Danio rerio: one gene and its partners. The protein of the gene in region 3 interacts with the protein of the main gene of each other region in a biochemical or structural test. Links are inferred from orthologs where the notes say so. Each region holds a gene or a part of one and is shown on either strand. Other genes may lie near its edges.

Evidence for each region.
Region 1: the proteins of dlg1b (region 3) and net1 form a complex in vitro, tested with the Homo sapiens proteins (3 studies listed by BioGRID and IntAct, with this or other methods). The link is inferred for Danio rerio from reciprocal best matches to the Homo sapiens genes DLG1 and NET1.
Region 2: the proteins of dlg1b (region 3) and vangl1 interact in a test that uses a peptide from one of them, tested with the Homo sapiens proteins (2 studies listed by IntAct, with this or other methods). The link is inferred for Danio rerio from reciprocal best matches to the Homo sapiens genes DLG1 and VANGL1.
Region 4: the proteins of dlg1b (region 3) and pbk form a complex in vitro, tested with the Homo sapiens proteins (2 studies listed by BioGRID and IntAct, with this or other methods). The link is inferred for Danio rerio from reciprocal best matches to the Homo sapiens genes DLG1 and PBK.
Region 5: the proteins of dlg1b (region 3) and ptenb form a complex in vitro, tested with the Homo sapiens proteins (2 studies listed by BioGRID and IntAct, with this or other methods). The link is inferred for Danio rerio from reciprocal best matches to the Homo sapiens genes DLG1 and PTEN.
Region 6: the proteins of dlg1b (region 3) and pkp4 interact in a test that uses a peptide from one of them, tested with the Homo sapiens proteins (2 studies listed by IntAct, with this or other methods). The link is inferred for Danio rerio from reciprocal best matches to the Homo sapiens genes DLG1 and PKP4.
Region 7: the proteins of dlg1b (region 3) and cysltr2b interact in a test that uses a peptide from one of them, tested with the Homo sapiens proteins (2 studies listed by IntAct, with this or other methods). The link is inferred for Danio rerio from reciprocal best matches to the Homo sapiens genes DLG1 and CYSLTR2.

The regions. Positions count from the first base shown.
Region 1 is NC_133179.1:12,146,762-12,149,820, forward strand, and holds part of net1 (neuroepithelial cell-transforming gene 1 protein), read right to left. Parts: intron 1,909-3,059; coding exon 1,633-1,908; intron 1,142-1,632; coding exon 1,079-1,141; intron 906-1,078; coding exon 809-905; intron 720-808; coding exon 643-719; intron 558-642; coding exon 300-557; intron 205-299; coding exon 34-204; exon of another isoform or gene 1-33. UniProt on the Homo sapiens protein: Acts as a guanine nucleotide exchange factor (GEF) for RhoA GTPase. May be involved in activation of the SAPK/JNK pathway Stimulates genotoxic stress-induced RHOB activity in breast cancer cells leading to their cell death.
Region 2 is NC_133184.1:34,712,173-34,716,241, forward strand, and holds the start of vangl1 (vang-like protein 1), read left to right. Parts: upstream 1-1,269; 5' UTR 1,270-1,414; coding exon 1,415-1,627; intron 1,628-4,069.
Region 3 is NC_133177.1:5,236,410-5,239,909, reverse strand, and holds part of dlg1b (discs large homolog 1-like protein), read left to right. Parts: coding exon 1-118; intron 119-3,500. UniProt on the Homo sapiens protein: Essential multidomain scaffolding protein required for normal development. Recruits channels, receptors and signaling molecules to discrete plasma membrane domains in polarized cells.
Region 4 is NC_133195.1:42,642,316-42,645,198, reverse strand, and holds the end of pbk (lymphokine-activated killer T-cell-originated protein kinase homolog), read left to right. Parts: intron 1-51; coding exon 52-234; intron 235-1,536; coding exon 1,537-1,769; 3' UTR 1,770-2,383; downstream 2,384-2,883. UniProt on the Homo sapiens protein: Phosphorylates MAP kinase p38. Seems to be active only in mitosis. May also play a role in the activation of lymphoid cells.
Region 5 is NC_133187.1:19,011,133-19,014,632, reverse strand, and holds part of ptenb (phosphatidylinositol 3,4,5-trisphosphate 3-phosphatase and dual-specificity protein phosphatase PTEN), read left to right. Parts: intron 1-2,726; coding exon 2,727-2,771; intron 2,772-3,049; coding exon 3,050-3,093; intron 3,094-3,178; coding exon 3,179-3,417; intron 3,418-3,500. UniProt on the Homo sapiens protein: Dual-specificity protein phosphatase, dephosphorylating tyrosine-, serine- and threonine-phosphorylated proteins.
Region 6 is NC_133181.1:13,256,592-13,260,891, reverse strand, and holds the start of pkp4 (plakophilin-4), read left to right. Parts: upstream 1-1,500; 5' UTR 1,501-1,649; exon of another isoform or gene 1,650-1,900; intron 1,901-2,000; exon of another isoform or gene 2,001-2,809; intron 2,810-4,300. UniProt on the Homo sapiens protein: Plays a role as a regulator of Rho activity during cytokinesis. May play a role in junctional plaques.
Region 7 is NC_133190.1:3,203,655-3,207,621, reverse strand, and holds the start of cysltr2b (cysteinyl leukotriene receptor 2), read left to right. Parts: upstream 1-1,167; 5' UTR 1,168-1,440; intron 1,441-3,967. UniProt on the Homo sapiens protein: Receptor for cysteinyl leukotrienes. The response is mediated via a G-protein that activates a phosphatidylinositol-calcium second messenger system.

The DNA of each region.
Region 1 (3,059 bases), on a different chromosome or scaffold from region 3:
AGCGGTTTAGACTGTGATGGATGTTAAACTCACCGTGCCACTTTTGTTGCGAAGTTCCCCATGGCAAAGCAAGCTCTTGCACTGCTCAATGCGTGGGTCTTTCTGCTTGTCTTCCAAATATTCCAGCTTATCGATATAGTATTGACATTCTGACTCCCCTTTCTTCATGTTTATGTCAGCCAGCACTGCTTGAATGACACTTATCTGGAGACAAAGAACGAAGGCAATATTAAAACCGAATGTCCCCAAAACAAGTGTATCTGAAGGCCTGCAGTTGTTAGATCGGTGCTTGCTCTTACCGCTTGCTCAAGACTTCCTTTGTCTGGGTGATCTGGTGGTGTGTGTCTTAAAATCTCTTTCAGAAGAAGAGGGTATTTGACCAAACGTGAGCGAGGGATGTCCAGGAAGCTCCATAAGTCTAGTTTCCTGCTGAAAGGTGACTCAAGGCAGCGCTGCAGGAAGTCTTGAACTCTTGGGTCCTGTTTCTTCTGATCGAGGAGGGCTTTGGCAGCTAGTTGGTTGCTACAGTATGCTCTGTATGCATTTAACCTTGGCAGCTGTGGTGGAAAGTGAGAGTTTTAACATTCCGAATGAACCACAATTAATTTGCCTCATAATAATGAACAACGAAAAGATGCTTACCCAGTCAACAACAATCTTGCCGATCTGTCTCACTGTGCCATCCGTACCTGTGGCCTTTGCCAATTGATCAAGAAGATCTGATAGGGTAAAAAAAAAAGTACGTTAACACTACTTGTTATCTCACGCAGTAATTAGGTGTGTCATGTAAATATGGTAGGTTATTTACCTTCATGAAGGGGAATGTAAGCATCCAAATCTCCAAAGATGGCTGTTAACTCCTCTTCAGACATAATAGAAAGTTTCAGCATTGGGTCATGGTATGCCTGGACACACAAAATGATAAAAATAATAAGCACAGCTTCTAATTTTACAGCCAGAAACTTTTGGCTATAAATGGAGGACGGAAGAAGGCCAAAGAGTCCAACTCCTAAAGTGCAGCCAAGAGCTTAAGCCTGTTTGCTTTGAATGTTCTAACAAAAAAAAAGAATGTACAAACCTTTCGGGCTAACTTCAGGTCTTCAATCAGGTCCTGTTCCCCTCGAGACAACTCAAAAATTGCCTGGAGAGACAGAAAACGAATGGTTACATTCATAACCAAGAAAACTGTTTGGATATTTTTAGTCAAGGCTCTGAGATTCAGTCTGTTTCTCTCTTTGGTGGGAAATGTTTGAGGGGCTCACAGTTTGCTGAAATGTCTCATTACTAGCTGTAGTTATGAATGAGAGGTAGGGGCTTAGTGCGTCAGACCAGCCAGTCTGTGTTAGCACTGGATGTCTGACTCTGAGATGCCAGAATTCAGCCGCACTTTTTCAGCTCGATTCAACTGTGTGCCAAGAACACACGCCAAAAAAACAAGGCCAGACGAGAGAGGTAGTGTGAGAGAGAATAAAAACAGAGAGGAGGAACAGGGCTCTTTCCAAGCCCCAGGCCCTTTGGGTTTAATAAGTCACACAGGCCTGATTCAGTAGCGTCTGGCAGGGGACGGAGAGTGGATTTAATAGTCTAGGTTTTTCAGTGCTGTCTGGATTCTCTTGCTCCGGCTGTACTCACCTCTTGTCTCTTAATCTCTTTGGTGGAAAACGTTCCTTTCTGGTGGACGTCTAGGGTCTCTGACCAGAGCGTGCTGTTCCGGCGCTTCGGTGGTGTGGGAGCTGCAGCCTTACTGCATGGCTTCTGCTGGGGCACGCCCGGAGACCGCCCGTCACCCCGGAATGAGGCCTGGAGGGTCTGGCCGAAGCGTCGGACGGCCCCATTCTTCACGGGAGAGATGAGGTTCGCCAGCGAGGTCACTCGGCCAAGAGGCCGCACACGCTTAGTACAGGGTTCCTATGGGACACATGGATAAAGATAAACATTAAAACTAAATCACCCCCCTCTGACCACAAGCGATCCCTTAGTGTTTTACCAACTGCACAACTGCCAACACAAGAAGGCTAATGTTAAGAATACACCACAAGCTGCTGTCTTTCAAACATATGAGTCACAGGATACACTCTCCACTGGTGCGGGTGTGAAGGGGTCAACTGGAGGTCAGGTCAATTGGTGGTTCCTGGGTGACAGACAGCTAGGCGGATGCTCCATTCTTTGGAGTTAACAGCTGTAAGCCGGTCACACAAACATATACACGTGTGTGTACATATATATGTATACAAATATACAAATACAAACTAAGACCCTTTCTGACCACAACCCTGGGGGACTCAGAGTTCAAAAGGCATTTCTGGAATTTAGGAGACTCCAGTCAGCTGTCCCACACTGATGACCCACACACACTCAATATCACAGCCTAACTTTAGCAAACAGGCCTCCTAATCAGAGCTGTTGTTCTCCGTACAGAAAAATGTGCCTTCCCAATGGTAAATTTGAAAGCCATTGCTTGTGTGTATTTATGTCGGTCAGATGGACCACCACGGTGAGTTACAGATCGGGCCTTGTAAACAATGAGCACTCTACCCCCTTTATCTTCCTCTTCTCTTTCCTTTCTTCCATTAAGTGCTGTTTATGACTTCATGTTGAGGCAGGCCCTGTAGGGCTCGCGTGAGAGATACAGACGCACCTGAACCCCTTGGAAGGGGGAGGTGAGCATTTTCAAACCCAAAATCCATAATGACTGGGCCTCCAGCCAACCTCAACAGACCTGGAAAGAGGGGGGGGGATCAAAGCAAAGCAGATCTGAGACCTTGATCATGCACTCTCTAGAGATCTGACTGAAAAACTACTACCATTGCAGGATCAATGCAAGCTTCGTTGACAAAAACTGGTTGCATCATTTAAGCAGCTGGAACAAAAAGCACTATGTGCTTGCACTTCTTAAAATGCACACTTCAATAGATTTTTCAGCACTGGATGGTTTTCCATCTGCTGAAATTTTATAAAGAGGGATGTGTTGTTCTCATCTTGGCATAGTGAAACCAAGGAACCATTCCATAAGCTGGCAGAGACAGTTGCTGAGCTAATCTATGGCTTAAGTCGCAACT
Region 2 (4,069 bases), on a different chromosome or scaffold from region 3:
AGAATCAGTGGGATATAATGCAGGTTGTTGGTTAACAAATAGTTTGCATTGCAATAAGAAGCCTTTGCAGCGAGAAGGTGACCCATCAAACTTTTCAGGAAAAGCTAATCGGGGACTTACGGTAGCCGGAGCATTGGAGACATGCGTTGGTTGAGAAGCTGTCATGGTAGCAGGCGGGGTAACTGCAGGATTCGGATGACGGAGTTGCTGCATAGCTCTCACCAGTTCCTCCGTGAGAGAAGTTAGATGGGTGAGTTGTTGATGATGGGTGGCTAACTGAGTGGCTTGAGCGGAAAGTTCAGTCGAGACTTGTGCTAAAGCTGCTGGATTCTGTAGTGGCGAAGTCTTCTGTTGTGCTGAGTCAGAAGGCATTGAATCCATTTGCAAGCTTTATTAAGAGCACACATACAAACAAACACAAAGGGGCAATCCAGGAGACAGAACGTGGGACAGGCAAAAGTTCAAAGGCAGGCAGATATCTTACTGGTCAGAATAACAGGCTGGAGATCAGGGGCAGGCAGATGTCTTTCGTAATCGTAGAACAAGCACAGGGTCAGAAACACAGATCAGTCCGAAGCAGGGAGTATGGAACGCTCAGAAATGACAGCCAGGCAAATCAAGACTTCGCAACGAACCGGAGTGTGAGTGTGGTATATATACACGAAAGCTGATGAGTTGCACCTGGACCGTAATCAGTGCCAGGTAGCAGGGCTTATGGGATTTTGAGTCCGTGAGTCGAATCAGAATTCTGGCGATGGTTCCATCTGGTGGTGCACAAGAGGGTTGGCATCGCCCTCATTTACAACACCAGGCAATGGCAAATCTAGTTCTCAACTCTATAACCAAATGAAATCAGTTCACATTTATGTAGAGCTTTCCAAATAGATAATATTTGCAAGCTTGACTGCTAGGTTGCTTCATTTGTGTGCACAGCAAAAGTAACAAGCAATTATGTAAACAGTCACTTGCCAAGTATTACATTTATGTCATCTAGTTAAACAGACAGTGTTTACCTAAAGTATGTCAAGTCAATAAGATACTTATGAGTTCTTTGCTAATGTCAAGCATTGCTAATACGAGTTGTCTACAGTTTGTCTGCTGCTGTTTGATATAATACAGTATGTGTGTGCAGTAGCTTTGTATTTCCTCTGCATGTGTTCATCTGCTTTGCTTTATTCTAAGGCTTACAGACATTAGCTATGACAAAAAAGACTGAGCGAGAGAGAGAGAGAGAGAGCGAGAGAAAGCTGTGCTTGGATTAGGGTCGTCACAGCTCACTGCATCTAACCCAGTTTACACCAGATGCTCCAGCCAGGACATGTGTGAGACGTGGATAGAGGAAACCAGAGGAGGATGATGATGATAATGAGCAATGATGATAATGATGATGATGGCCATCCTGTCGTTAGTTTGAATGTGTTTCCCTGCTCTGTTCAGCATGGCGAGTGCGTTTTCCTCACCTCCGTCGCTATGTGTGTCTCTGTCGTGCAGTGAGCGCAGCAGCAGGGATCGACACAAGCCTCACAGCCGCGACAGCAGCAGCCGCTCAGACAAGAATGTGACGATCAGTGCGACGTCTGTGCAGCCGCAGCAGCCAGATCAGAGCTCCGCCCCCACAGACGCCCAGGTGAGTCACACATACACACACACACACACACACACACACATACACACACAGCATATTTGATGATTCAGTGCCATTGTGGCTTTGATGGAGACGCCTTGAGTTACTCCTGGGGAAATGAACCGGTACGTTGGTTGAATAATCCAGCGTTTCGACATTGTTCTGGCTGAGAAGGGTTAGAATATGAAGCAACAGGGGGGCTGGGATCGTGACAGAGGGATTTTCAAGGAAAAGGAGCATTAAACAAATATTCTGGGAAATCAAAGCATGTTTATTTGTGTGTGTGTAAGCATTAACCAGTCTTCAGATTTAGAGAAATGAATATTATTTGAAATATGACTATAGAATAGAATAGAATATTTATTACACTATCATTCCAATAAATGTGCACTTCTGTGGTTTAAATAAAAACATTGAGAGTGACAATAAAGATATTAATATTATTCAGAATTTCAAAATAAAAGGAAAGTAATCCCAGCTCAAAATAGCAATTTAGACTTTTACATCTAGGCTAAAAAAATATGGTTTACTAACCTTTAAACATTTTGGACTTTTATGTTTTTAGTATAAAAATTAGAGCTGCGTGATATTGAAAAAATCTGAAATTGTAATTTTTTTTTTACGATATATATTGAATTAATACAATTTAGCAGATGGCTTGAATAGCTCTGTTTTGTATGGATTTAGATTGATTGAAATCGTTTTGTTGCAGTACGGTGAATCCAACAAATTGCAAGCATAAATAAGGTAGAGCATTGTTAAAAGTGAAAAAAGAAGTGTTTTCTGGAGTCTAACAATATTCAGATATTCAGTAATTGAATAATCAAATGTAGTATAAAGTAACACTGTACAGTCTTCATTGCCTGTAAATAGGCCTGCACGGAATCTGCACGTGCAGAAGTCTGCAGATTTTGAGCCCATCCTTGAGTCTGTTCATTTAATTGTGTAAGTGCGTGAAAATTTATGTGTTGTTTTTAAATTAATTTCAGTAATATTACTGACTAGTATGAAAGTGTTTTTTGATTTATTTACAAAACAGTTTGTAATGTAATATTTTCTGTATTTTAGTAGAGATATTATATGAGATACTTGCTTTATTTACCAAATAAGTGGATCTAGATGGATTTGCGTTGTAAATATTAAATAAAAGTAAAAAAAAAAAACATTATTTTTTATTTTATTTATTAAGTTTTTAGTCATGATACTCCCAAAATAATTCGGCATAAATCTGCAGATTACTTACCAAAAATGTCTGCAGATTCTGTCTGGCTGTACTCATAAGCTTTAATCCCAACTCAATATTGCAGATATTGCGATGTGACTATTGGGAAGGCACACATTGCGATATCAATGCTAAAACGATATATTGTGCAGCCCGAATAAAAATGACAGAGTTTTTTTTTTTGTGATACAAAAGCTTTCTAAATTAAATAAATTGTGCTTTCAGCATTTTTAATGACAACACCTTTTCTTAAACATTAAATTAGCCAGTTAGAATGTTCCTGAAGGATCATGTGACCCTGAAAAAAAGTACAGTTTATTGATTATTACACTGTTCTCCGAGAAATGGAACTTACATAATGTGAAACTACAATTAAATCAAGCACGCTGCTACTAAAACTTGTTTTTACTATTTAAATATACAGTACTGATAATGCCATTATTAATGCAGGTGTTAAAAGCATAAAAAAACGATGTTCTTGCTGGCAGTTTTTTCACAAGCTGGACTTTAAAAATAAAAACTATTCTTATTGTAAAATTGTAAACTTTTTTGTATTTTTTTGATCAAATAAATGCAGCTTCAGTAAAAAGAAAGGATCCTTTCCAGAAAGACCAGGGAGATGAAAATGATATTGAATTACATTTATTTGATGGTTAACATTTGACTTGAATTGAAAGTTTGTAAATTCAGCTATGGCTGCCGAGGATGAAGGCAGGGGCGGAGCTTACCCTTCCAAGACAGGGCCAACCTGGTGGTGTTGGGGAGGATGGTGGATGAACGTCCACATCAGTATCTACAACCAAACGAAGGAAATGAATAGACAGCTTATATATTTCCTTGAGTCTAGTGGCTATTGGTTGGAACTAGAGATCTGTATGGGAACCGAATTTTGTATTCTGCTGCCGCCAGGTTTTACTCCGCGCCTGACCGCTCCCGCTGTATATTCAGCCAATGTTCACCCGCTGCCCACCCTGCCCCTTTTTTCCCCGACCAGACCGTTCCTGCTAAATTTAAATCTGGTTTTCAAAATCTCACTTTAAAATACTAAAAGAGAGAGATAACCGATAAAATGTCAGTTTTGTTTGCCCCTTTGTGATGAGACATGAGTGCCGCCTTAAACAGTGATGTGCGGTTAGGTTTGTGGCTGGTGAGTCACTGACTCTTTCACAGTCAGATTAACAAACATGTCCACTTGATATTTTTGTCATCTACCGATTGTGTTT
Region 3 (3,500 bases):
CACAGTAAGGCTGTGGAGGCGTTGAAGGAGGCAGGCTCGCTGGTCAGACTGTATGTCAGGAGGAGAAAATCTGCCTCAGAAAAAGTCATGGAGATCAAGCTCATCAAAGGACCCAAAGGTAAAGAAACTCTGGATCTTATTATGTTGGATGTTCTAGAGTGTACATGTTCATTTAAGATTATACATATCCTAATGTAAGGTCAGTTTTAATGTAATTGGTTATCTCTGAGTTTATACTTAGATACTGAAGCCCAGGCCTGAGTTCCCCATCAGAAGAGAGGAAAAAGCTGAGGTTACATTCTGGAGAAGTGTTGATTAGTTTAACGCTTTTTCCAAGCACGTTTCTGCGGTATACAGGTCTTGACTTCTCGACTCGCATCAAGTTAACTTAGGGTTGTCTAATTAAGGAAAAATGTTAAATGAATGCCTATTTGTGTGTTTAGGTTAAGATATTGATTGGTTGAAGCACAGGATGAGATCGCAAGATCTTTGTGTTTGTTTGAACCTGAAATGTTTACCATTAGGAGATGAAAGTACAGCTGGGAAAATAAGTATTGAACACATCCCTATTTTTTTCAGAAAACATATTTCTAAAGGTGCCGTTGTTTTGAAATTTTCACTGGATGTTGCTTATAAATCCAAATAAACCCATATATGCAAAGAAAACAAATCTAAATAGTTTACAAATGAAATTATGTGTAATAAAAAGAATTGATGCTTAACCCTTCTGGCTAGGCGATTAATTCTTCTGAACTGGAAGAGCCCTCACCCTCCTTCTCACTCTTTTTGGATAAGAAATGTTCTTTATTTTATGAAATTAGAAAAAATGAGGTACTCTCTTCACCAAACTAGCACTATTTTTATTAAATTGTGGGAACCCCTTCGCAAATATGTCCAAACTCTTCAGCTCTACCCTGCTCCTTCTGATTGAGTCCCCACCCCCTAATGCCCAGCTTTTACGGGAAACTATTTCTGGTCAACACATTGTAGACTTGTTTTTTATGTATATAAGTTTGCACTAGTGTTGTTGTTTTTTATTTTATTTATCTATTTATTTTTATCATCTTATTTTTATTTATTATTATTTATTTATTTTTATTATTATTATTTGCTCAAAATACTCTTCAGTGTATTTGCTTATTGTTACATGTTTATGTCTTTGTAAATTTTTGTAATGTTTCACAATGTATTAATAAAACATAAAAAAAATAGAATTGACGCAGAAAAAAAGTTTTGAACACATGAAGAAAGGGAGGTGTAGAAAGGCAGTAGTAGCCCAGACAGCGGCTCATTGTAAATGAATATCAGCTGCTTCAGTCCAACATCTACATTAGCAGGATGATGAAGATGGCACCAGGGTGGACATTTCAGCAAGACAATGATCTAAAACAGTGGTTCTCAAACTTTTTTCATCAAGTACCACCTCAGAAAAAAAGGTCTCTCCAAGTACCACCATAATGAGCAGTATTAAAATACAGTAGCGTAGTAAGCCCAGTAAAGCAGCTACAGCTCTGTACAGTTCAAAATGTGTCAGATTAATTCCTATTATTAAGAATAGTTATTATTGTCAGCCACTTTAAACATTATAAATAGTCTAAACGTTAACACTGTACTGTGTTTACAGGTAAAAAACAAACAAAAAATGTCAACATTTAAATTAAAATGTGGTTCTAAAATGGTAGGTTACTGTTCTTAAAAAGTAAAAAAGTGCTGTACTTAAATGTAAAGTATTTACATATAGTAGTCAATTCATCAACACCTGAAAATGTTGCCTGGACCTCAGAAATATAGGCTATGTATCACATGATAAATATTATTATATGTCATATTCATATATAAATCATTTTTGATACATTTTGAAATATATATATATAGCATGTACATATGACATATTTGATTCCTCCGCGTACCACTAGAAGGAAGTACAAGTACCACAGTTTGAGAACCACTGATCTAAAACACAGCCAGGGAAACTCTCAAATGCTTTCAGAGAAAGAAAATCAAGCTGTAGAATGGCCCAGCCAATCACCTGACCTGAACCCAATATAGAAAATACAAAATAAATCTCAGATTTGAAAGACAAGACCCACCGAACCCTCAGGATTTCTACACTATGTTAAAGTCTGTGAAGAACTCGCACCTGAGCAATGCATGTGACTTCATTCTCCATATGAGAGGCGTCTTGAAGTTGTCATCATTAAAGAAGCCTTTTATATAAAGCATTAAGTACGTTTCAGTAGCTCAGTACTTTATTCTTGTGTCTTTTCATTGTTATTACACAAAGGGTTTAAAGGTTTTTTAAGGTTTAAAACTAAGCTAATCCTGTATAAAGCGTTGCATGTGAAAAGAAAGAAAAGGCCTGTGAGCATCAGGCTACGGCAGCTGGATTAGTTCAAAAAGGCGCAGTACTTTTTGCGGTTGGGTCTGTTTTAGTTTGGATCATGTTCTCACCACAAACAACCGCTTCAGGGTTTGTTTGAAAGCGTACCAAGATCAAGATGTCTCGGTACGCATTTTTGTTCCACTTTTGATGCACACTCGAGTGCAATTGCTACATTCACACCTGCCCAAACGAAATGCAACAAGAGGGAAATCGAACTCAAGTGCGTTTCAGCAGAACTAAATAAGGCAGGTGTAAAAACACCCTTAGATTAACAACCAATGCATAAAATAAATGTAATTTATCACACATGTTTGTGATGCATGCAGTTGAAGTCAAAATTATTCGCCCCCCTGTTTTTTTTTCCCCCTAATTTCTGTTTAACTGAGAGAAGATTATTTTCAAACCATTTCCAATTATAATAGTTTTAATAATAATAACTGATTTATTTTATCTTCTCCATGATGACAGTAAATAATATTTGACTAGATATTTTTCAAGACACTTCTATACAGTTTAAAGTGACATTTAAAGGCTTAATAAGGTTAATTACGTTAACTAGGCAGGTTAGAGTAAGTAGGCAAGTTATTGTATATCGATGGTTTGTTCTGTAGATTATCGAAAAAAATATATAGCTTAAAGGGGCTAATAGTTTTGTCCTTAAAATGGTGTTTAAAAAATTTAAAACTGCTTTTGTTCTAGCCAAAATAAATTAAATAAGACTTTCTCCAAAAGAAAAAATATTATCAGACATACTGTAAAAATTCCCTTGCTCTATTAAACATCATTTGGGAAATATTTAAAAAAGAAAAATAAATTTCAAAGGGGGGCGAATAATTCTGACTTCAACTGTATATTGCATATACTGCTATCATGCCAATGATACTTTTACAGTATATTGTGGAGCCCTAGCAGATATACAGCTAGTTCTGTAGTCTTTGTATGTGTTTGAGCTGGGTTTGACAATGGCACACTTGGCATTGCTGGAGGATCTGGCAACAGCATGTCTGCAGAAAGTGGCACACGACTTAAGAGTATTTTGCAGAAAGCCCTTATTTGGAAACGGAGTGGGTGTGTTTTATGCAAATGACCCACATAATGCACTCGGCTGCTCATTTGT
Region 4 (2,883 bases), on a different chromosome or scaffold from region 3:
TTTGCCTCTTCCACCTGTTTTGAGTGATCAAGTTAAGCTATCTTTCTTCAGTGAGTGATCCAAAGGCTCATTACATTGGGACGGAGCCGTGGAAGCCCAAAGAAGCTTTGGAGGATGGAGTAATCACAGATAAAGCTGATATCTTTGCCTATGGACTCACACTGTGGGAAATGATGACGCTTTCTGTTCCTCACCTGGAGATGCTGGACACTGAGGGTGATGAAGATGATGATGGTAAACTTACTGTTTCTAATCTCTCATCTAGTGCTTAGCCTCAGTATGCTTTTACTGATCTTTAACCCTTGTATATTGTTCAAATTGACTACTCTTTCGTTATGTTCGTGGCTATTTTTGCCCCATTGACTTCCATCATAATCAGATTTTTGGCATTGCAGAGCTATGATATTAGTCATCTATTCTTGATTGTTGTTGTTTATCCCTGTTGAGAAGAGGTGAAACCTTTTATTTGTATCGTTGATCATCAGTTCGTACCATTAACCTTTTTGATAGTCATGGGTAAAAAAAGGTTTCTGGCTTTTATATGTTATACGAGTTCTGTGGAGTAAAAACCACAAATTACATTGTGCATGCATAAATACACTCACAATGTTTACTTTATTCTGAGACCTGAGCTGCTTGTTTTTTTATTTTCTCAGACATATCGTGGTAAGTGGACAAAGGTCTCTCACATGCACACACGCACACACACTGTTGTGGTTTCCAGCTGTTTCAAGAATGAATCAAACTCAGTCTGGAGGTTCTGATTATCAGAAGAATCTATTTTATTGAAATATTCTCCAAAAAAGCAGACATCTATAAGCAGACCTGTCTCTAGTATCTTCCCAGGACGATCTAAATTGTCTGTTCTGTCCATTCTTTATAGTTTTATACACAGATATAACTATATGTGTGTCAGTGTTTTACAAATAACCTCCAGCAGCTTCAATTAATGGTGACCCCACATATTTCTCAGCATGACACTCATCCTGCACACTCCAGCAGTTGTCACGTTTCTTCTCAAAATTCACCACCAGCTGATGCCCTTTTCCGTCAAAATACATGTCTATATAACTATTTATATACATTTATCCAGGTTGACATGTTCACTGCACTACATACAAAAACACAAACACTATACTTTATATAATTAAGTCAGAAACTGAGCTGTTTTTGCTCTGCAACTGATGATCCACAGTAGAAATTACCAATTTTAGCTCTTCCCAACAGAAAATACCACCAACAATTAAGACTGATAATATGCTGTGATGGCTTTGCAATCAAAAAATCTGATTATAATGGAAGTCAAAGGGGCAAAAAACAATCACCAACATAACGAAAGGGTAGCTAATTTGCCCCGACTTGTTGACTTTTTGAACATTTTCAAAGCATTAGTCCCAAGATTTGTCACCAAAAGTCATTCTATTTGCTGAAACAGAGCAAGTTGTGACCAAATTAAGACTCAAAATCAGCTTAGAGTGGATGAAAACATCCCCAACAGCACACAGGGTTACATGTCTCTCTCTTCTTTTTAAATAGACGAGTCATTTGAGGAGGATTTTGATGAAGATGCATATTATGAGCGGCTGGGGTCTCGACCGGCTCTGGACGCAGTGACTCTGGGAGGCTCTTATCAGAGGATGGTGGAGCTCTTCTGTCTCTGCACAGAGGAGGACCCTCAGAAAAGACCCTCAGCAGCTCACATTGTGCAGGTGCTGGAGTCAAACAGCCAGCTTTCCAAGCAAAACACTGAGGTAATTGTAATCGATTAAATGCTCAGTTGCATTCCTGTCAACGACGAATGCTGAAAATTCTGTTTCTCCGAGTCTGAGTTGTGTGTTTGAGGAAAAGAACATCATTTTTGTTTTATTTCATGCTGTGAACTGATGACATTTAGAGGATCTTTTTACAAAAAATAATTGAAAAGGTGCCATGTTTTCATACTCTAATGGCCATTTTTAACTTCAGAATGGTTAAAAAAGCAATATATGCTGGAATAACCCTGATTTTCATTCAAATCAAGTCATAATAATTGTTATTCGGACTGTTTTTTTTTTTTTTGTGGGGGGGGGGGGGGTGGAAGGAAAAACACCTGGAAGAAATGTTATCAGATCTTTTATTGAATAAAACAAATATTAACATTTTCCTGAACCCTACTTTTACTAAGAAATTGAGAGAAACTCAGAATTTGATTTATTTTTGGTTCCCTTGCTGTATGTTTACCTCTAGGGATTTTACTGTTTGAGATCTTTGTCACGTTGTAAATATGTTTCTGTTTAAAATGAGTCATGTTGCATAAGGTCTTATGTACTCTGCTGATTTCAGACATGCTCTCGATCATACTGTAACTGCAGTCAAATTTGAAATAAACTGTCTGTGAACTTCAGCTTGCTTAAGATTGTTTAGTTGCACAGATTGCAGTTTAAATATTGATCTACTGTATGAAGACAGTAAAATATATACATTTCCTACATGTTAAGTAATATTATGTAATAAAACATTTCCAAATGTTAGCAAAGAGCAAGAAATGTACATCTAGCGGTTTCTTCGTCTTGCTGACGACTGCGCAGGCTACTTGTATTATTCACTCACAAGATGCCGCCATATAGTCAAGAACAGCGGGATGACAGGCATGCTCTACCGGTGAAGTTGCTAATACTACCATATCTAGAAATAATATACTTTGGAATGTTGTGATGTCTGACCATGAAGAATGAAGTATTCCAGACAAAGTTATACATTTACATAGACGTATATAGTAAAGATCATTCATTAACCATTTAGCATTTTGGGGATTTTCAAAAACCAATTAAAAAAACAAAGACAAAAGAAATCATCTGTAAATTATGCAAACTAATGAGAAATATTGCTGATCTGGACTATAGG
Region 5 (3,500 bases), on a different chromosome or scaffold from region 3:
GGAAGAAATACCAATGCATAGCGTATGATATTTTGCCACAGCCAGAGCCTTTTCTTTTAACCACTTTAAGTTTCAATTTATAGTCTTTTCTACTCATGCATTATCTAACAGACACCTGGTAGCAAGTAACACGAGTTAAAAACCACAATAAACCCCAACAAGATAAAGTACCTTTTATGCAAAACCATAGAACTTTATCTACAAATTAAATACAATAATGAGAACACGCAATGAACACAGATAGAAGTTCACATTAACTTTTTTTCATCTTTACTCCTTTCTGTCGATTCCCAATGCAAAGAATGACAGCATAGTAAAATTGAAAATTGAGTGTTGTAGCTTTGCAGATAATAAAAATTCAAATTTTTGTTTCCAAAACACCTGGTATTTTGTTTTAAAAGCTTTGTTCACAAAAAATTGAAAATTATATCATGAATTACTCTCAAACCACTGAGACCTTCATTCATCTATAGAACTCAAAGATATTTTAAATGAAATCTAAGAGCTTCCTTATCCTCCACAAACAGCAAAGTCCAAGAAAATACCTAAAAACTGAGCATATGCATTATATGCCTCAATCGAAATATTAGCAAGCTTTGAAAATACATTTGTACACGTATAAATTGAAAATAACAACTTTATTGAACATTTTCTTTTTCTCAGTGTCAGTATAGGGCAATTTGTTAGGTCACATCCGTGTACAGTGCCAATAAACATGCACAATATACTGACACTGAGGACAAGAATCTTTGACTAATGTTTTTTTTTTTTTTTTTTTTGTGCACAAAAGGATTCTCATAGCTTGTTAAAATTCTAGTTGAACTGCTGAAGGCATATGGTCTGTTTTGAAGAAATTTTTGGTACCTTTCTGGATTTCAAGGTTTTCTTTTTGAAAGTGGTCAATGGAGCTTGCTGTCAATGCAGGACGAGGGAGCTGTCAGATTTCATATCGTAATTTATATTCCAAAGATGATTGAATGTCTTGGGGGTAGGGTTGAAGGATAAATCAGTTGAGTAGCGATATTGCAATGCATGTATCTGCAATAGTCACATCGCAGGATTGGATTATTTAAAACAAATAAAGATATTATTAAATACTATTATTGTTAAATGGTTTATACATACCATGTTATTTTACATTAAATTGTTAAATTTTTGTACCTGAATACTGCTAGACCCCCCCACACCCCCAAAAAAGGCTCTACTTCTTTCAATATAGCTAAATTGTTCCAGCCTGGCTGCTGTCATTTCTTTGCTTAAATGCCCAAATCTGTGCAGTAGTGATCGTAAGTGGCAGGAGCACAAAACAAAAATCTCACTGAAAGCGCACAGCTAATTTGTATAGCAGCATGTAACTCAATGAATATATTAGAAAAATGAACATCTGAATGTACATAAAATGGCAAGTCCTCTCTGGGAACAAGTGATTAGAAGTGTGATTTGATTTGTTTTGAGTAGAACACTCATCCGATTCAGGACAGATATCCCGCCACCAAGGACACACAATGTTTTGACTTCACTTTTTTTAGGATGTGTGGTGCACATATGCTTTTGAATAATATAAAACAAACTTAACTTATCATATTACATTCTTTAAGGCAGGGTTGCCCAAACTTTTTTTGAGAAAGGGCCAAAAACCAAACTTGTTTGATGCTAATGGGCTGAATGTAAATAGAATCGCCTTGGGTAATTTAAAAATGTATTTAAAAGAATTAAATATTACTAGAAAACATTGCTTTATATTAAATAATACAGTATAATTTTTTTACATTTTATAATGAAGTTACTACCGTAAAAACTACTAATTTATAACAGAATTGAGTTACAGTAGTTTTTGCCTTGATTTGCTTACTGATGTCTTCGGCTTAGTCCTTATGTACATTTTAATTATTTGAGTTTAATTAGCTTTTTTGTAGCTCAGCAATAAAACAACCCTCTCCATCACTTTACCCTCTTCCAAGATGGGATGGTGAGCCAAATCAAATGTTACAATGGGCCAACTTTGGCCCGCAGGCCCTACTTTGGGCATCTCCGATTTAAGGCAAGCACTTCTTGCACATGCATGCTGTTGCAGGCATATACTCAACACATATCGGCAAGGCATATTAGCGTGATTTTTTCAAATGTACATTTTGAGACATAGTTGACCAATGCTGATGATGTTCCATTTCCTGTAATATTGTGGATCCCTAAAAGTAATGGTGTAAAATAAAATTTTGTTTAAAAGAAATTGTATTGTTACATCCATAGCTAACTTTTAAAAGCAAATCAGTTTTAATCTTCTGAAGAGACATGAAGTTATAAATTAAGGATTTTATTAACATATAACAATTGATCATCTGACATATGTTGTAAATATTGTAAACTTGACTCTCAATTGTACTTGATTGACGTGAGAATTAATGAGGCTTGGTCTCATGTCCCACTAGCACATTTGATCTTCCATATGAACCAGTAAGGTGTTAATCAGTATTTGTAAGTGAATAAAAACCTAAATGAAATCTGTCCATCAAGTCCATTTCAGGAGACTTGCTTTAAAGCACTTGATTCGGATTGATTACATTTAAGCATAACTATTTTGAAGGACTTTCAATGAAAGAACAGAAATCCAGTTCCATTAAAATACCTTCATTTGTTTTTTTTTGTTTTTTTGTTGAGCTTTTGTTGGATGAACTATTCCTTTAATTAAAATCTATAACATGCTTTTGTTCTATCTTGTTTTGCAGGTTTCTTGATTCAAAGCATAAAGATCATTACAAGATATATAACCTGTAAGTGTGTTTCAAAAACTTCAGTTCTGTGATATCGGTTTTGTAAATGGGTTTCATCAAACTGCTTTTACTGCTAGAATGTTCTGAAAGCTGCAATCATGTTCACTTGAAGATTAAGGCGGCTGTTTGATCGTTGTGAATGGAGGGCTTTGTCATTGCACATAGATCCCTTACTTAACTCCGATTGTTCTGTTGGTTTTGGCATTGGTGCAAAGTTCTAAGCAGAAAAGTATTATGTTGAACTTGTGTACTTATCTGCTTTACTTTGTGTTGTTTAGATGTGCAGAAAGACATTACGATACTGCCAAATTTAACTGCAGAGGTAAGAGGCTTGGATTGCATAAATGTCAGTTTTTGTGTGGTAACGTTGATGGTCTCTCAATGATCTCTTTATTTATCTTTTGCAGTTGCACAGTATCCATTTGAGGATCACAATCCTCCTCAGCTAGAGCTCATTAAACCTTTCTGTGAAGATTTGGATAAATGGCTCAGTGAAAATGACAATCATGTGGCTGCCATTCACTGCAAAGCTGGAAAGGGAAGAACGGGTGTCATGATTTGTGCGTACTTGTTACACCGAGGCAAATTCAAAAAAGCACAAGAGGCTCTGGACTTCTACGATGAAGTTAGGACCAGAGACAAGAAGGTGAGAAATATATATGAACATATTTCTGCTTTGCATTTTGTTTTTAAAAAAGTTGATATGCAGATTTTGTATACAAATGTGAA
Region 6 (4,300 bases), on a different chromosome or scaffold from region 3:
AACTGTGGAGTTACTGACAGTCCTACTCAATCATTATACCACCCTTGACTTGGGCATTTAGCTTTCAGACTCTGTAATTAGTCTACAGTGAGTCACATGGATGTTCAACATCTGCTAAGCACCAGATGTGGACTTGCTACAGCTGGAAAGGATGAACTTCCCTTATATAAATGACCTTTTTTTATTTATTTATGGAATTTATTTGGAATCTATATCTTATCATATGAGTGTCAAGCCGCTTTAACATTTCATAAAAAAAATATGCTAGTGTCTTTGTCATACTGTTAATTTTCTATATGATAGAAAAAATTGACAATGCAGGCGGTTTTCATCACTGCTAGTTCTTTGGCTTGGTGTGTCCTGGGCTTAATAAATAAGTAGGCTACTAGTGTTTATTTAATAGGTACTAGTATCTAATAATTTAATACTGTTATCTAATTCTTCCCAGTGATGGGTTGCAGCTGGAAGGGCATCCGCTGCGTAAAACATATGCTGGATAAGTTTGGTGGTTCATTCCACTGTGGCGACCCGAGATTAATAAAGCGACTAAGCCAAAAAGAAAATGAATGAATGAATGTTCTCTAACTCGTAGCATGAAAAATACATGTAGGACCTATGCATGTACTATACTAGTAAGATTATATCCTAATTGTTAACACAGCTTGCCATAACGTGTTCATTTTTTGTGTGAATCCAACTGGATTTGGAAAGAAAGGTACAAACAGTGGGCAGAGACGCCTGAAATTACTAATAGTCCCACAGGTTCTCACAACAGCTCTGAATGCTGGACTTTGAATAGCTTCTAATAGGTCCAAGGCTCGGTATGTTTGACTAGTTGGCAAAACATGAGAGGCTTTCCTTGAAGCTAAAAGATGAGGTGCAAAATCCTGATGACTAAAGCAGAGGGTGTCCAGAGTATATCCAGCACCTTTTTAACTATTACGTGATGTGAGGGGTAGCCTATTTCCAGGAATATCCTAATTTTCTCTGTTTTCCTAATTGTTTATTTACAAATAAACCTTTATGTGATAAAAAGAAAACTATTTGTACTCCAAAATGTTCCCATGAAGGAAGCCCAGAGGGAGATGCCCTTTATCCACACGATGGCAATGTTGCCTAATATACGCGTCGAAAGACCCCCTTTGGAAAATCGTATTTTTATTGTCGTACAAAATATTTATGATGCGCCGGCGAGTCTTCCCCAAAGTTGTGTGGACTTTGTGTAACCCCAATCCTCTTAAATCCGACCAATAGAAGACTAAACGCATACATCAACCAATTCAAAGTAACGAATTTGTGGGCGTTTATGCGCACTACGAGCAGATGGTCACTCATGTGACCATTTAAGGGGTTGTTGTTTTCGCGGTGTAAACGTATTTTCCACGGAATTCGACGGGAACTCCGTTTTTTCCGAATGAACTCCCGTTCGACTACATGGCAACACATTTAAATGCCCTGAAACGGCATCTCTCTATGTGGAGCGTCTACGTCACGCGCTCTGACCCTCTTGCCCATGGAAGCGCGCGAGACCAAGCCGGAGCCGCCCGTTCATCGCCTGAAAACACCTTTGGAAAGAATGTCATCCCGGGTTTCTCTTACCAATGGATTTAATCGTCTCCACGACTAATTCGCATTTCGGCGTTTTTGCGGTAAGTCCTGGTGAATTCGCGTCGCTCCAACGGAGCGTTTCTAACATCTGGCGCGCGCTGGCGGCGGGAATTCATCGCTGCTTGTCATTTATCGGTAGATCTCGCCGTCAGTCCTTTTCAAATCTGAGCTGTAATAGACGCTGTGTTCACCGCACAAGCGGAGAAACTGTTTGCTTTCCCGTCGAAGCTCATTTCATTTGCCTTCCTTCCTTCCTTCCTTCCTTCCTTCCTTCCTTCCTTGCAGCGATGGACTGTGCAGAAAATATGCAATAGTACAATAGTTATGCTTACATAATTGATAACTGGTGGCCTTGTTCAATGCATGATGCTGAATAACTTGAGCAGGTGTACCTATAATGGACATTCCTACACCTCCCATCATCATCATCATCATCTCTGGTCCATCATCTGTCCCTGCATGGCGCATTTACTCCATCTGGTCATCATCTCCTAACCTGGGCAGTGCATTGCACGTTACATTAGTTAGTTGCATTCATTTCCATCCTTGTGACATGTGCTACAGCCCAGTATCCCACAGCATTCACTGTGAGGTAGGCTGGTCTCCATTATAACCGCTAGATGCTGTCACCGGGACCACCTCTTAGACACTTTTCTTTATGCATAATTAAGCAACATCTCTCTCAGAATAACTCCTGCTCTTGATCATTCAAGCCCAGCTTCTATCTCCAGCAGAAGCAGTCTGTCTCTGTTTGGACTGTAATGGGAGTGTGGTTGCAGTTTCAGCTGCCTCATCATATTGACCAGAGTTTAGATTGAATGCAGGTTTGCTGCTGTGCACCATGTAATTGCTGCTGTGCGGTGATTTGCTTTGAGCAGTCCACAATTACAGTATGTAAAGATTGCAGGGACAATGCATCATGATGCAGTAAGACGTGTTCCTCAGAGATTCGGCTGTCTTTACACTGCATTGGCATGTTATGTGCTTTTTCGGGGAGTTTGGGGTGTGCGCTTAAAATGGCCAAGGCCGACTTTTGGTATCCGCTGGAAGCGATAGAATGATCTCTCTGACAGACCTGTGCATGTGGTGGTGCGCAGCAATGTCAGATGACTCCAATAAGTTACAATTTATTACTGTTTCTCGCTCATCATGGTAAATAGCATGGCTTGCTGCTGGTTTTTTCGCCTCTAGTCTCTCCTCTATATAAACCCTGGGCTCTGACTGACAGGAGACTCTCGGTAAATCCGGTGTGGAGGTGGGTGGGGATTTTAAAGACTTCTAAAGTGGATTTCGGATTTTATTCTTGTAAATGCCAGCACAGTGGGGCCCTGCCATTTATGAAGTTTTTAAGCTTTAAATCTTTGGATTATGTATGGATGTTTTGCACATTAGTGATGGCAAGACTGATTCACTTTTGTGAACTGGTTTTCTTGGGCAGTTCATCTGAATGAAAAGTGCAATCGTGCAGTGTCATCACTCATATGTATTCCACTAAGTCCAATGAGGACTGCACTGACAAAATGTTAGGTGGAATTATGGACTAAGCTAACAGTTTTATGCTTACTAAATACAACAAACTAGTGATAAACTATATAAAATCAATATAAAACAACAAACTTGTCATGAACGATAGCTTTACAACATAAATCTGCATGTTTTAATAAATTGTTAATTAAAATGTATCTCAGTGTGTGATGTTTAAAAGATAATGAAGATTACTTTGTCACTTCGTTTTGAAATGAATCGTCTGCTTCGAATGAATTGTTTGAATTAGTCATTCAGTAGTCTTGTGTAGCCAGACCTCAGACTGATGGCTGGGAGCTTTGGCCACTTTGAATGGTCAATGAATGCCCATGATGCTATAAGACTGACATGTTAACAAACCAATCACGTTTCATTTAGTGCCGCATCATGTTTAGGGGTGTGGAAATGTCTGCACATTAACAGCTTGGCACGCAACCGGTGCATCATTCTTTCATGTGCATCTTTAAAGGACAACAACAAATGTTTAGACTATTTTCGAATATTCATTCATTGTTTTGGTGAGGAATCAATCACTAATAAAAAGTCTAAACCTGCATCGAAAACACGCTAAAAATATTGTTTAAAGGGCACCTAGTTTACCCCTTTTTCAATACTTAATATTAATATTATGGTTCTTCTGAGTGTGCCAGTTTAGGTTCAGTTCAAAACACAATTCAGATCTTTTTATTAGAATGTGTTAAAAAGTGTTATTTTGGGGGGGCGTGTACACAGGTTGTTGATTTAGGGGTGTGTTGCTTTACATGAAGATTGTTCTGCGTCCCAATCGGCATACTATGCGTCCTAAATAGTATTTGAAAATAGAATGAGTATGTCCCAAACCACAGTATGTTGAAAAGAGTATGCCAGAGATTCCCGGATGGTTTGCTATTTCCGGGTAAATATTTAAGTGTAGAACCGTCTGTACCAGGGGTGGCCAATCCTGTTCCTGGAGAGCTACCTTCCTGCAGATTTCAGTTGCAACCCATAATCAACACACCTGCCTGTAATTATCAGGTGGTGTTCAGGTCCTAATTAATTGGTTCAGGTGTGTTTGATATGGGTAGCAACTGAAATCTGCAGGAAGGTAGCTCTCCAGGAACAGGATTGGCCACCCCTGGACTCTTAACACTCTAACCGCTGAAATTGCCCACCATAGATATATACACTA
Region 7 (3,967 bases), on a different chromosome or scaffold from region 3:
GACATGCGGTACAGGTGAATTGGGTAGGCTAAATTGTCTGTGGTGTATGAGTGTGTGAATGTGGATGTTTCTCACAGATGGGTTGGGGGTGGAATGGCATATGCTGGATAAGTTGGCGGTTCGTTCCGCTGTGGCGACCCCAGATTAATAAAGGGACTAAGCCAAAAAAAAAATGAATGAATGAATAAACTAAATATATACAACAATCTGTCCAGGTCGCTTTCCTCAGCAGTAAATAGATAGAGATCTTTTAAACGAATGTTATTGTTAGGAATATAATTAAACCGGTAAATAGAGTTAAAATTATATTCTATAAATAAAAAGTTTTATTGAGATGATTGTTGGTGATTGTATGGGTTTTGGCCAGATTTGGTAGCTATAAATGAACAAAGGAAAATTAAGACCGGTTTAAAAAAAGATTTAAGACCTAAAACACAATATTTCAGTTATTTTAAGACTTTTACGGCATAACATTTAAATTTTGAGATTAAAGACATTTAAAAACCAAGCAGAAACCCTGTTTAAAGCACTTTATCTTAAGTGAAAAGCCAATAAAAACACAATACAGGTGACATATTGAGGTATGGTTGGTTTTGTATTTCCACATTCGTTCAGTGACAACTTATATATTAAACGTACTTGTTTACCACGTTACTTTGAATATTGGGTCTGAATTCGCATGCAAAGTGACATTAAAATCACACTAGCATGGTGTACTTTCCTAGTCATTGGCTGCTAATGTGATTTATTTATAATACTAAATATTGTGTAAATATAATAACTTCATCTAAATACGTCAAGTTTTACTGAAATAACATAGCTGTCAAAGTTTAATTAGCTTAAATAAAACATTACAAACCAAACAACGTGTGACTAAACAAAGTCTGCGTTAATAGTAACGTTAGCTGTAAAACATCTAAGTACTTTTTAAACGCATTAATGAGTGCATGTGTAAACAAAGACGCGTTATTATTATTCAGCTGTTAGTTAGCTAACAAGCTAACTATCGTTTATTTTCATAACACCTCCACTGCTTGCAGAGACGAAAACAGTCCTCGAGTCTGCACGAAGCTCAAGCTAACATGTCAGATAACACCACCCGAATGTATACGAAAGTTGTTAAATTAACTAAACACAACTAAAGGTGTTTGAATGGGTAAAGCTGCTAGCTGATGTTAGCCGAGTGAGAATGACGTCACGGAGAAGTGTCAATCCGTCTCACGTCGAGTTTTACAAATAAAACTCTGAATGTTTACCTCGTGTTAAATGAATCGTCAAGGTCTTCATTCCTGTGGCAGATTAGGATGGAGATGGTGGAGTAAAGCGTCAATTCTGCATGTCTGCGAGTTGAGGTGGATGTTCAGTCCTCTCTCAGCTGGCAGTGTCTCATATGGGTGGATTTGAGCGACACAGGATTTCAAACTTCCCTTACAAGACATGGTGACTACAGCAAAACCACATATTAACTGCTAATATCGGTAACGTTATACTGTAAATACATGATACACTGGTTAATCCTTCACTTTAACCCTTACTTTTTGAACAGACATAAAAAATTACATGTTCAATAAAATTGTTTATTTACTGGAAAAAACAGCTTAAACCAGCCTAGACTTTTGCCACTTCCAGGCTGGTTTCCAGCCATTTCCAGCCTGGTCTTAGCTAGTCAGGCTGGGAGGTGACCAGCTAAAACCAGCTTATCCAGCCAAAACCAGCTATGTCCAACTTAAACCAGGCTGGTCAAGCTGGTTTTAGCTGGTTAAGGCTGGTCATTTTCCAGCCTGACCAACTAAGACCAGGCTGGAAATGGCTGGTAACCAGCCTGAAAGGGGCCAAAACCCCTCTAAAACCAGCCTGGTTGACCAGCTAAAACCAGCCTAACAGCACGTAGGGCTGAAGCTGACACTAGTGGATGCTCTGGAACTCTGGGGCTGAAGTCAACACTATGGGGCACCCTTGGTCTGAAACCAACATCGGGGGGGGGGGGGCTCTGGGCCTGAAGTGGATACTCAGGGGCCCTTTGAGGCTGAAGGCAACACTGGAGGGCACTCTGGGGCTGAAGCCAACACTGGGGGGCACTCTGGAACCAAAGCAGACACTGCATGAACTCTGAGGCTAAAGTCAACACTGGGGGGCACTCTGGAGCTAAAGCCAATAATGAGGGCTCTCTGAGGCTGAAGCCAACAATGAGGGCACTCTGGAGCTGAAGCCAACACTGGGGGCACTCTGGAGCTGAAGCCAACACCCTGGGGCACTCTGGGGCTGAAGCCAACACTGAAAGCACTCTGGAGCTAAAGTCAACACTTTGGGGCACTCTGGGGCTGAAGCCAACACTTAGGGCACTCTGGGACTGATGCCAACATTGAGGGCACTCTGGGGTTGAGGCCGACACTGAGGGCACTCTGATGGCTGAAGTCAACTCTGAGGGCACTCTGGGGCTGAAGCCAACACTAAGGGCACTCTGGGGCTAAAGCCAACACTGGGGAGCACTCTGGGGCTGAAGCCAACACTGAGGGCGCTCTGGGGTTGAAGCAGACACTGGGGAGCACTCTTGGGCTGAAGCCAAAACCGAGGGCACTCTGGAGCTGAGGTCAACACTGTGAGGCACTCTGGGGCTGAAGCCAGCACTAAGAGCACTCTGAGGCTGAAGCAGACACTGGGGGCACTCTGGGTTGAAGCCGACACTGAGGGTACTCAGGGACTGAAGCCAACACTGGTGGCACTCTGGGGCTAAAGCCAACACTGAGGGCACTCTGGGGCTAAAGCCAACACTGAGGGCACTCTGGGGCTGAAGCAGACACTGGGGGCACTCTGGGTTAAAGCCGACACTAAGGGCACTCAGGGACTGAAGCCAACACTGGTGGCACTCTGGGGCTAAAGCCAACACTGAGGGCACTCTGGGGCTAAAGCCAACACTGAGGGCACTCTGGGGCTAAAGCCAACACTGAGGGCACTCTGGGGCTGAAGCAGACACTGGGGGCACTCTGGGTTAAAGCCGACACTAAGGGCACTCAGAGACTGAAGCCAACACTAGTGGCACTCTGGGGCTAAAGCCAACACTGAGGGCACTCTGGGGCTAAAGCCAACACTGAGGGCACTCTGGGGCTAAAGCCAACACTGAGGGCACTCTGGGGCTGAAGCGGACACTGGGGGCACTCTGGGTTAAAGCCGACACTGAGGGCACTCAGGGACTGAAGCCAACACTGGTGGCACTCTGGGGCTAAAGCCAACACTGAGGGCACTCTGGGGCTAAAGCCAACACTGAGGGCACTCTGGGGCTAAAGCCAACACTGAGGGCACTCTGGGGCTGAAGCAGACACTGAGGGCACTCTGGGGCTAAAGCCAACACTGAGGGCACTCTGGGGCTGAAGCAGACACTGGGGGCACTCTGGGTTAAAGCCGATACTGAGGGCACTCAGGGACTGAAGCCAACCTCGGCGGGCACTCTAGGACTGACGTCGACATTGAGGGCACTCTGGGGTTGACGCAGACACTGGGGGGAACTCTTGAGCTGAAGCTGAAACTAGTTGCACTATAGGGCTATAGCCAACAACAGAGGGCCCTTCGGTACTGAAGGGTACACTGGGGGAGCGAGTGGTCACTGCTGACATTCTCAGGAGGCAGGTGCATAGTGAATCTGCCAGTATGTAAGGTGAAAAGCACACTGGCAGAACTCCACCATACATTTGACATCAGGTCAAATGTACCTCAAAATACTTTCATCTCCCACTGTGGTATACACTTGAGCCGAGCACTGCATTAAAGACTGGAGAATTAACAAGACCAAAACAAAAGAGTCCCGACAATCAGACCATCATACATTAAAACAATCACCATTTTCCTGAATCCCACACCTAGTACATCCAGAGAAACCGAGAATTTTCAAGTGGTTGATTTTTTTTGTTTCTCTCATAAAAGAAAACAACCTTCTTCAAATGAAACAACACATTCTTTATGAAAGATCAGT